2 linked regions of the Kluyveromyces lactis genome follow. The protein of the gene in region 1 purifies or fractionates together with the protein of each later gene. This does not show direct contact. Links are inferred from orthologs where the notes say so. Each region holds a gene or a part of one and is shown on either strand. Other genes may lie near its edges.

Region 1 (5,862 bases):
TTTCAGGTCTATTTATCTTTGCGTAAATGATACCCTGGTTGACCAAATCACTGATAAACGACTCTGTCTTGGCCTCATCTAAATCTAATAGCTCCTTTAACCTTGGCAAAGTAATTTTTGTATAGTATTTGGAAATGACACGCAAGTTGTGCTCTATGATTCTCTTATGAAGATCTTCCCAGTGTGATTCATTAGACCCGAATGCAACGCCGTCCTGGTTCAAAATTTCTTTGTAGGTATCTTGTACTATTGGCCATCTCATTAGTTCTGCTGTGGTGAAGAGTTTTACCAAGGATTCTTGGGATGGCAATTTCTTTAGATTGTTGTCCAACTGAACCTTGTGAATGAGATCATTTTGTAGGTTATCATATGGCGATAGAATCAAGAAGTATACAACCCTGGATAGAGCTGCCTTCCATTGAATTTCATCTGCCTTCACAGAATCAGAGTTGTAGATTTCTTGGTAGTACTGAGCCACTTCTAAGTAATCTTTCTTATGCAAGCCAATCTTTACCAAAAGGTTATAATACTCTAATTTCAATGCTGCATACTTTTCATTCTTGAAAGTCTTCTTTAATATTTTTCTGGACAACACAGTGGCTTGAGAGTAATCACCTTTTAGGATACTTAATTCCATTTGTTCAAGGATAAATTCAATCTTTTCATACATCTCCATGGACCCATACGTTTCCACTTGCAATTCACATAACAAGTCAGTGGCCTCATCGATCTTGTTCTCAGATCTTCTGATATGAACCAAATCTCTAGTGACTCTAGCTCTTTCAACTTCCACGAAAATCTTGTTCTCAGTCACGGTTCTTATCGTCTCAATAGTTTTAATCTTGGTGTCCAAATCCTTCAGGTCTTCCAAATATTTCATCACAGACTGAATCATATACTGCACAGATAACTTCAATTGACCATGCTTTTTTGATAGAAGCATGATTTGGTCGTTAAGTAGGTCCCATTGGTCTGCTGCGACCAAAACATCTACGATCTTAGTCAAGACTCTTTTCGAAGATGCTAAATCAGAAGATTGTCTAGTCTTCTTTTCCAACACTAACAATTGATCCAAAGCACTGGAATAATCATTCTTGGCCAAAATCTCAAGCTTAGGAAATTCAGCGTCCAAGATTTCGGTATAATCTTTCTCTGCCTTAATTGGAGCGTCTCTGGACATATTTTACGATATAATTTATACTCTTTTCTCTTTGCTCTGCCTGCTCAACTTAAACCGAAATGCAATACAATCAATTTCTCTGTATCCGTCCTGTATTCAAACCACACAAACTTACAGTCTCAGAACCGACACTGTAACCTGCTGTACCTCTGTTCGCGGTTATTTCGTATATATTTGCCACCTGTAACTGATTTCCTTTATTTCTCATAATGCCTTTAAAATGACAAGCTACGGTAAAAGCTTCCTCAGTAACAGTAACAATCGAATCTTAGAAAAACGTGACTTCATCATCGTTCGTAATGATTGTGCTGGATATTCGGGTAACCTTGATTTGATTTTATTGTGCGGGTAACTATTTTCTTTCTTTTCGGTGAAAAAGCATTAAAAGTTTGACAGAAGATGAATTGAGCGATGAGATGAGATGAGATGGGATTAAATCAAAGGCTGTCAGAAGGTTCAGTATCTTGGCCGATTGTATTGAATTGACTTGCATCATCAGTTGTGTTTAGACCATTCTTCTTGTCTGTGGGCAAATAGGTTACAAAGTCGAATAATAATGGGTGGTTCACAGTTGAAGAACTTGAAGGCCGCTTTAAAGGCTAATGGGTTGACTGGTCAGACCAATGTCAAGAAGAGTTCTAAGAAGAAGGGCAAATCTCCCAGGGAGTTTGATAGAGAAGAAAGACAGAAGACTATTGAAAGAATTAGGGAACAGTTTAATCCGTTTGATGTGAAAACAAATCGTAATAAAAAGGTTGGTGTGATGAGGGAATCTGCAGCTAAACTTGCAGTAGGTAAGCCGGGAATCACTAAACAAGCCGGTGAAGATCAACGTAAAATGTTCTACGAAGCCAAGAAGTCCAGCAAGAACAGAAGCGGTGGTGTCTTAGATAAACGTTTTGGTGAAAAGGATAAGAATTTGACTTCCGAGGAGATCATGTTGGAACGTTTCACAAAGGAAAGACAACGTCAATCTTCGACGAAAAGATCGTTATTCAATTTAGACGATAGCGATGGTGGTGAGGATGAAAACGTGTACGGTGAAAAGTTGACTCATTATGGTAAGTCTCTTTCCTTGGAAGATGATTTCGATGAAGGTGATTTGGGGTTACAGCATTCTGATTCGGAGGACTTCAGGTTGAAACAAGCTGGTAAAAGAAATATGGCGGATCAATACGGAGATGAAGGGTTAGGTGATGACGCTTTGCAAGAGCCAGCAAGAAAGAAGACTAAGGCAGAAGTCATGCAAGAGGTCATTGCTAAATCCAAATTTTACAAACATGAAAGACAAAAGGCGCAGGAGAAATTGGTCCAAGATATCGAAGGCCTTGATGACGATTTCGAAAGCATTATGTCTGAATTAAGGACGTTACCAAAGACTAAACCTTCTCAAACTGAGATTTCGACCTCCACAGACATCGCTCCAGATTATGATATCAAGGTGAAAGAGTTAGTCTTGGAGAAAAGAGCTGCCCCTGCAGATAGAACTAAAACAGATGAAGAGATTAAGAAAGAATATGAGGACAAACAAAAGGAATTGGAGCAGAAAAGGCTTGATCGTATGAACGGTATTTTCAACATTGAAGATCAAAAAGATGCTGGTGTTGAAGATTTGGGAGAAGAGTTTTGGGAAGATAGCGACTCTGAGGAGGGCGAATATGGTGAATATATCAAAGCAATTCCTGACTCGGATGACGACGTTGATTTCGAGAAGGATAACAATGATGACAATGAATACGACGCTACATCAAATGGTAGACCTTCAGCAAGAGTTATACCTTCTGTTCCATGTCCTCAAATTCACGATGACTTACTAAATTTCTTGAAATCTTATCCTATCGAAGAGCATCCATCTTTAGTTAAAAGAATAGTAAAAACATACCAACCAAAATTGGCTGAGGGAAACAAAGAAAAATTGGGCAAATTCACTGCTGTTTTGCTCAGACATATACTTTTCTTGGCTGAAGAAGATTACTCGGTTAATGTGAAAGAAATTGCATCATTACAAAACGAACTAGTAAGCATTCTAAAGACTCTTTCAGAAAAGTTTACCATTCCACTATCAGAGGATTGTAGAAATATCATCTCAGATATTCAGACTAGATTCAAAGAATCCCAGTTCTATGGACTATCTCCATCAGATTTGGTATTTTTCTCTGTTGTTGGTATGTTGTTCTCCACTTCGGATCACTATCATTTAGTCATTACTCCCTGTCTGCTTCTAATTGCAGAGTTTTTGGAACAAATTAGGTTCAATTCTCTTCAAAAATTAATATTTGGTTCGATACTGGTTAGAATCGCCATCCAGTATCAACGTATAAGCAAGCGTTATATTCCTGAGTTAACATACTTCTTGCAGACATCTTTGCGTTCTCTAATACCGAGTACCAAAGGGGAAACATTAGAAAACAAAGAAAAACAGGAGGACAATTTATCAATAGTAGGCTCGGATATTAACTGGTCCAAGGTCGCCCCTTCTTTAGAATTACACTCATTATTTTCCGAGGATCTAGAAAAGCAAGAATCTATCAAACTGTCCGTGCTGGTCAACAATCTAGAATCAATTGATTGGTGCATAACGAACATCTGGAAAGATCTTACTGCCTTCCCAGAAATCATTAATCCCTTCAAAGACATACTAAACGTGGCTGCCGAAGTATATCCTGGTACTTCTAAACCAAAACAATTAGTGGAAAAGATCGAAAAGCTATTGAAATTCCAAGAACGTCTGCCATTGACGTTGCAACAGCATAAACCACTGGCGATTCCATCAAATACGCCTAAATTCGAAGAGAACTTCAACCCAGATAAGAAGTCGTATGATCCAGATAAGACCAGAAGTGAGTTGAACAAGATGAAGGCGCAATTGAAGAAGGAACGTAAGTTCACTATGAAAGAAATACGTAAAGACACTAGATTCGAGGCAAGACAAGGCATTGAAGAAAAGAAGAAGGAGTACGCCGATTACCATTCCAAGATGGCACGTATTGTCAATCAAATCAGTACTGAAGAAGGTGCTGAGAAAAACAAATATGAGCGTGAAAAGAAGCTCCGTAATACCAAACGTTAACTGCATATTATATAATCTATACTCAACATTAATAAACTTTATCATCGATTGCGATCTGATTTTTTGTAATATTGGTTTAATAGGCCCATAACACCATTTCCCGCCTTCAGTTCGTCAGCATTATCAGCAATATCATCCTTAAAAAGGGTAGATTTGTTGATAAGTGAACCACTCAATGAGCCTAATTCAAGGTCCGAACTACGATCCGGGAATCTCTTCACCCTTGATCGATTAAGATTTCTCTTACGATTGGAGTTTTTACCTAAGGCAAATTGTGTCTTCCAGGAATAGTCTTTAGTAGAGCTGTATGGGTGATAAGATGGCTCGATTGGAGAAGCTGGTAGCTGATTTTTGCCCACTGCATTGCCTGCATTCTTGTAATCGTCAACGAAGTACATATATGACTGAAGCATTTTGTTAACACCCTCATCCGATTCGGTTTCACTATCATCCTGTTCTGCTTGGGAAAACATTCTCTTAGTTTGTTTTTTGGCCTTGGTACCTTTGTCAATTTTAGTAGCTTCAAACATTGCGTACTTACACACGTATCCCAACCCCTCCTCATAGACGGTACATTCTCTAAAAAAATCTATTATTCTTTCTGAATTCTTTGGCAGGGAGAACCATAATATGAAGGGAGTGATTATAATGCTGACTAGTTCCCTTAGTAATAATGTGATTCTCAAGTTGTAAAGCCTACAAAACTCATTTTTGATGTCCTCTGTATGATATTTCCCCTTCCATTCCTTTGGAGCGTAGTGTGTATACGACACAAGTTCCTCCAGTGTTTCCTCTGGTTTGAGAACCGTATACTCATCGTTGATAGAACTGTGACAAACTGCCCATAAAGTACCAAAAACAGTCATGTAAAATAAAACAGTTCTGTCAGGTGTAATTTCGAAGTTTAAGAAATTGTCTGGATCAAATATTGTCAGAATACCCAAGATTGCCACAAAAGAACCGGAAACAAACTGTATAAAGCTTAAGGTCAAGCTTAATAATGTATTGGGAAATTGATTGACATAATTGTCCGCTATTATCATGCTCAATCTCATTCTTTTTTGGAAAATATGATATAATTCATTGTATTCCCTAAATTTCCATTCAGCAATAGGAGTATATTGCCGAGAACCTATTGATCCTGGGGAGGTTTTGTACTCATTAAAATATCTGAAGAAGTTCAATAGAACAAAGTATGTTACTAAGAATGGGGATAAGATAATGTTCAAGAATCCAGCAAGAACAAACCTCTTCTTTAACTCCTCTCCCAGGTATTCTCTCTGGCTTTCTCTTAAGAAAGCTTGCTTTAAATAGCCCTTCTCATTGAATGCAAAACCTAAAATACAAAGATTTATGTTCCATTCGAGCGTCTTGGTAAGAGCACATGTTCTTAGTAGAGGTACTGGTAGGGATAAGTCAAGAATATTGTTATCATATAGTGCAATGACAAAATTCTCTTTGCGCATAATTCGATTAGCCACGTCATGCGCACTCAACCTGTTTTTTGCTTTGACTTCGGTAGCATTTGCTGTGATCGCATTCTGATCCTTAAGTAATACTAGTTGTTGAATCACACTTTGCCATGGAATAGTTTGTAAATCTTTATCTGATA
Region 2 (4,756 bases), on another chromosome or scaffold:
GTACTACCTTGTGCTTCCTGTAACATATATTTTGCATGGGCAGGAACCAATTCTTGCCTTGTATCTCTATCTATAACTGCATTAAACTGAGCCTTTTCTTTGATAATGTAAATTTTTTGATGCTGTGATCCATGTGAGTGCTGATGATGTTTTTCAGCATCGTCATGTGAGGAATCTTGCTTACTTTTCCGTAGGTATACCGTTTCTCCAGGGAAATAGTCGTTTTTAAATCTTGCATATACCTGTTCGACGAGCATATCTAGCCTTCTAATCTCGTTGAAATGGATGAATTTTGCAACAGGTTCACGTAATTTTAAAGGGAACATTTTCTCAACGTATTGGAACTGCTCTTCTTCACTGTTCAACGCTTCAAAAAAAGTTAAACATGATGTACCAGTGATCTCACAGGTGAAATAATGTCGCCTATAAAAATCCAATCGTTGCAAAAACTCTGCATAAGTCAAAAACCATTCCCCTGTCTCTTGAATGTACCATATTTTCCTATTGATATTTGACGGTAATGGCCTAGCATCTGGCAACGTTATCGTTTTCCTTTTATACAAAACCATTGCTCACACTGTGTATTCTATCCAAAAAATAAAAAGCTCAACAAGGAAACACACACCACTGAAGACTCTGTTATCCTAGCTTTCCTGCTTCAACTCAGTAAAAATTACACGCACACAGATTGGAAAGAATAAGAACAGTATGTGTTTTCTATGACCAAAAGATGTTGTCTCGTATCCACAACAATATAACTGGTGTAGAACGTACAGTTCTTGTTGTGAAATCCAAATCACCACACAAACGAACTAAAGATAAAAAACACAACAACTTTTAGGGAAACGAATGAAACAAACGACTTTTATTCGGAATCCAACCGTTGATTCATTGACCTTTGTTCTATCCTGTTCTGTTTGTGCATTTGATTGGATTTCGATTTCATTTTGATGTTCGAATTTCGATGAACGCTTTTTTTTCCATATGCCCTTGGGCCCTAGTTACTACGGCAGAGACATGTAGGAATATCTACAAAACTGACAGAATACCTTAAATTCTTAAAAATCAGATCACGTGCAGAATCACGTGATTAGATATCGACAAGGTTCAGATCATTTCTTTTTCTTACCCTGCATGAAAAATTGCATGAAGAAGCTCAACCATCTCATCTCATCTCATCGGTGAACATAAAAGATTCTAGTATCTTGAATTGAATCAAAAGGGTCACTTTAGGCCAGTTAGTTCGAATCACATTGCCTGAATACATCTTAAGACTCTCAAGCTTCAGCAATGGAACAATCGAATAAAGAACATAGGAAGCGGAAGGAGAAGGCTGGTGCCAAGAAGAAGTTACATTCTCAGGGCCACAATGCTAAGGCCTTTGCTGTCTCCGCTCCGGGGAAAATGGCTAAGCAGATGCAACGTACGGGTGATAAGAATGAGAAGAAGTTGCATGTTCCGATGGTGGATCGTACCCCAGATGATGATCCTCCTCCGATCATTATTGCTGTTGTTGGTCCTCCAGGTACCGGTAAGACTACTTTGATCAAATCGTTAGTGAGAAGGTTGACAAAGACCACTTTATCCGAAATTAACGGTCCTATTACTGTTGTTTCTGGTAAGCGTAGAAGGCTGACTTTTATCGAATGTCCTGCGGATGATTTGAATTCCATGATCGATATTTCAAAAGTGGCCGATTTGGTGCTTTTGATGATGGATGGTAATTTCGGGTTTGAAATGGAGACCATGGAATTCTTGAATTTGGCTCAACATCATGGTATGCCTCGTGTACTAGGTGTCGCTACACATTTGGATCTTTTCAAATCCCAGTCAACATTGCGTGCCTCTAAGAAATCTTTGAAACATAGGTTCTGGACCGAAGTGTATCAGGGTGCCAAGCTTTTCTACCTTTCTGGTGTTATTAACGGTCGTTATCCAGATAGAGAGATTTTGAACTTGTCAAGGTTTATAAGTGTTATGAAGTTCAGACCTTTGCAATGGAGAAACGAACATCCTTATTTATTGGCCGATAGAATATCCGATTTAACTCATCCAGAACTCTTACAATCGAAGGGTATGCATATAGATCGTAAAGTCGCCATCTATGGTTATTTACACGGTACTCCGTTACCTTCGACTCCAGGCTACAGGGTCCATATCGCCGGTGTAGGTGACTACCAGATCGATCACGTTGAGAAATTGCCTGATCCTTGTCCGACACCTTATTACCAACAGAAATTAGATGAATTTGAACGTGAACGTGCTAAGGAAGAAGGTTCCACATCAGCAACGACTGTAAGAAGACGTAAAAGATTGGATGATAAACAAAAGCTGATCTATGCTCCAATGTCTGACGTTGGTGGTTTACTTATGGATAAGGATGCCGTGTTCATTGATGTTGGCGGTAAGACAGGTCCAAACTCAATGACTGCAGAGGAAAAAGATGAAAGTGACAAGATCGTGTCCAACCTACAGGCTACATCTCGTTCCATTGATGAAAAATTCGAGAATGTTGGATTGCAGCTTTTCTCAAATAGTACTGAGTTACATGCTATTGAAGATCAGGATGAAGAAGTTGAAGAAGACACCGAAGACGAGGATGATGTTGATAGAGGAAACGTTGGTAGATCTTCCTTAAGAAAGGCAAGAGTATACGGCAAATCCCTTCAGGAATCTAACGCAGATCTCGATAATTTATCAAGTGACAACGAAAACTATAATGAAGATGATGACGAAGATGAAGCACATCGCACTAAATTAGTTGAAATTGATTTTGATGACGAAAAACCTGAAAACATGGCCTTTGAGACAGATTCAGAATTGGATGCATCTGATTCTGAAGGTTGGGAAAGAACCACAGCTGGTAAATTGAATGGTACAAAGAATAAAAGAAGAAAGTGGGATATCAGCAAACTTATCTACATGGACAACATTGCTCCAGCTGATGCAATCAAAAGATGGAACGGCGAGGCCGACGAAACTGAAGTTGAAGAAGATCTAGAAGACGATGAAGATACTGAATTCTTCACCCAAAAGACAAATACTACACCGAATAAGGCAGTAACTTACCACGATGATCTTGAAAGATTTATTCCTTATTTTGATACATTCAATGACCTTGTTGAAAGATGGTCAACTGCCGATTCAATCAAAGACAGATTTGTTGGAAAGCCATCCTTAAACACCAAGTCTTCTGATGATGTAAAGGATGAAGACGATGATGAAGATGAAGTATACGGTGATTTTGAGGACTTAGAAGCTGAGCCTGAAAACACAGATGAGAAGGAGGAGAATTCTGCTGCAGGAGATGAAGAATCTGATAGCAACGAATCGTTCGCTGATTTCGAAGAAGAAGAAAAGAAGGATTTGACCCAGGATGAAGAGCGTGAATTGAATGCCGCAAAAAAAGAGAAATTAAGGTTACAATTCGAAATGGAAGAAGGAGACAACTTTGGAGAAGACCCTGAAAATGAATACGATACCTGGTACGAATTACAGAAGGCTAAGATTGCTAAACAATTAGAAATCAATAAAGCCGAACTGGAATCTATGACTCCTGAACAAAGGCAACAAATCGAAGGTATGAAAGCTGGGTCTTATGTTCGTATTGTCTTCGATAAGGTTCCTATGGAATTCATCGAAAATTTCAACCCAAAGTATCCAGTAATTATGGGAGGTCTTCTTCCCACAGAATTGAAGTTCGGAATTATTAATGCAAGAGTCAGAAGACATCGTTGGCACAAAAAGATTCTCAAGACAAATGATCCTTTAGTTTTATCTCTTGGTTGGAGACGTTTCCAAACTCTACCAATATACACCACTAGTGACTCTAGAACCAGGACTAGAATGTTGAAGTATACTCCAGAACATGCTTATTGTACAGCTTCTTTCTATGGTCCCTTGTGCTCGCCAAATACCACTTTCTGTGGTGTTCAAATAGTTGCTAACAGTGATACAACTGGAAGTTTCAGAATAGCTGCGACTGGTATTGTAGAGGAGATCGATGCAAGCGTAGAAATTGTGAAGAAATTAAAGCTTGTTGGTTATCCTTACAAAATCTTCAAGAACACTGCCTTCATAAAGGATATGTTCTCTAGCGCTATGGAAGTTGCACGGTTCGAAGGTGCCCAAATCAAGACTGTTTCCGGTATTCGTGGTGAAATCAAGCGTGCTCTATCAAAACCAGAAGGCCATTTCAGGGCAACTTTTGAGGATAAGATACTATTGAGTGACATTATAATTCTTAGGTCATGGTATCCAATCCAAGTTAAGAAATTCTACAACCCAGTTACTTCATTGTTGCTAAAAGATAAAACTGAATGGAAGGGTTTGAGACTAACTGGTCAAATTAGAGCATCTCTTGGAATCGATTTACCGACCAACAATGACAGTACATATAAGAAGGTTGAAAGAGTTGAAAGGAACTTCAACGGTTTAAAGGTACCAAAATCTGTTGCCAAAGACTTACCTTTCAAATCCCAGATCTATCAAATGAAACCGCAAAAGAAGAAAACATACATGGCTAAGAGAGCTGTCGTTCTAGGCGGCGAAGAGAAAAAGGCACGTTCCTTCATGCAAAAGGTTCTCACCATTTCGAATGCGAAGGATGAAAAGAAGAGATCCAAGAAAGCTGAAGAAAGGAAGGAAAGACTCAAGAAGCTTGCTAAGTTGGAGGAATCGAAGAAAGAAAAGGAGAAGCAACGTAAGAAGGACTTCTTCTCCAAAAACGGTAAAAAAAGACAATTCAACGACAATG

Evidence for each region. The genes of interacting proteins can lie anywhere in the genome.
Region 2: the proteins of NOP14 (region 1) and BMS1 purify together in Saccharomyces cerevisiae (affinity purification with mass spectrometry; 4 studies listed by BioGRID). This does not show direct contact. The link is inferred for Kluyveromyces lactis from reciprocal best matches to the Saccharomyces cerevisiae genes NOP14 and BMS1.

The regions. Positions count from the first base shown.
Region 1 is NC_006039.1:1,426,015-1,431,876, forward strand, and holds NOP14 (snoRNA-binding rRNA-processing protein NOP14), read left to right. Parts: upstream 1-1,736; coding exon 1,737-4,250; downstream 4,251-5,862. Other genes in the region: proteasome regulatory particle lid subunit RPN5, read right to left, coding at 1-1,180; autophagy protein ATG9, read right to left, coding at 4,292-5,862. UniProt on the Saccharomyces cerevisiae protein: Involved in nucleolar processing of pre-18S ribosomal RNA. Has a role in the nuclear export of 40S pre-ribosomal subunit to the cytoplasm.
Region 2 is NC_006038.1:179,531-184,286, reverse strand, and holds the start of BMS1 (GTPase BMS1), read left to right. Parts: upstream 1-1,290; coding exon 1,291-4,756. Other genes in the region: KLLA0_B02090g (uncharacterized protein), read right to left, coding at 1-569. UniProt on the Saccharomyces cerevisiae protein: GTPase required for synthesis of 40S ribosomal subunits and for processing the 35S pre-rRNA at sites A0, A1, and A2.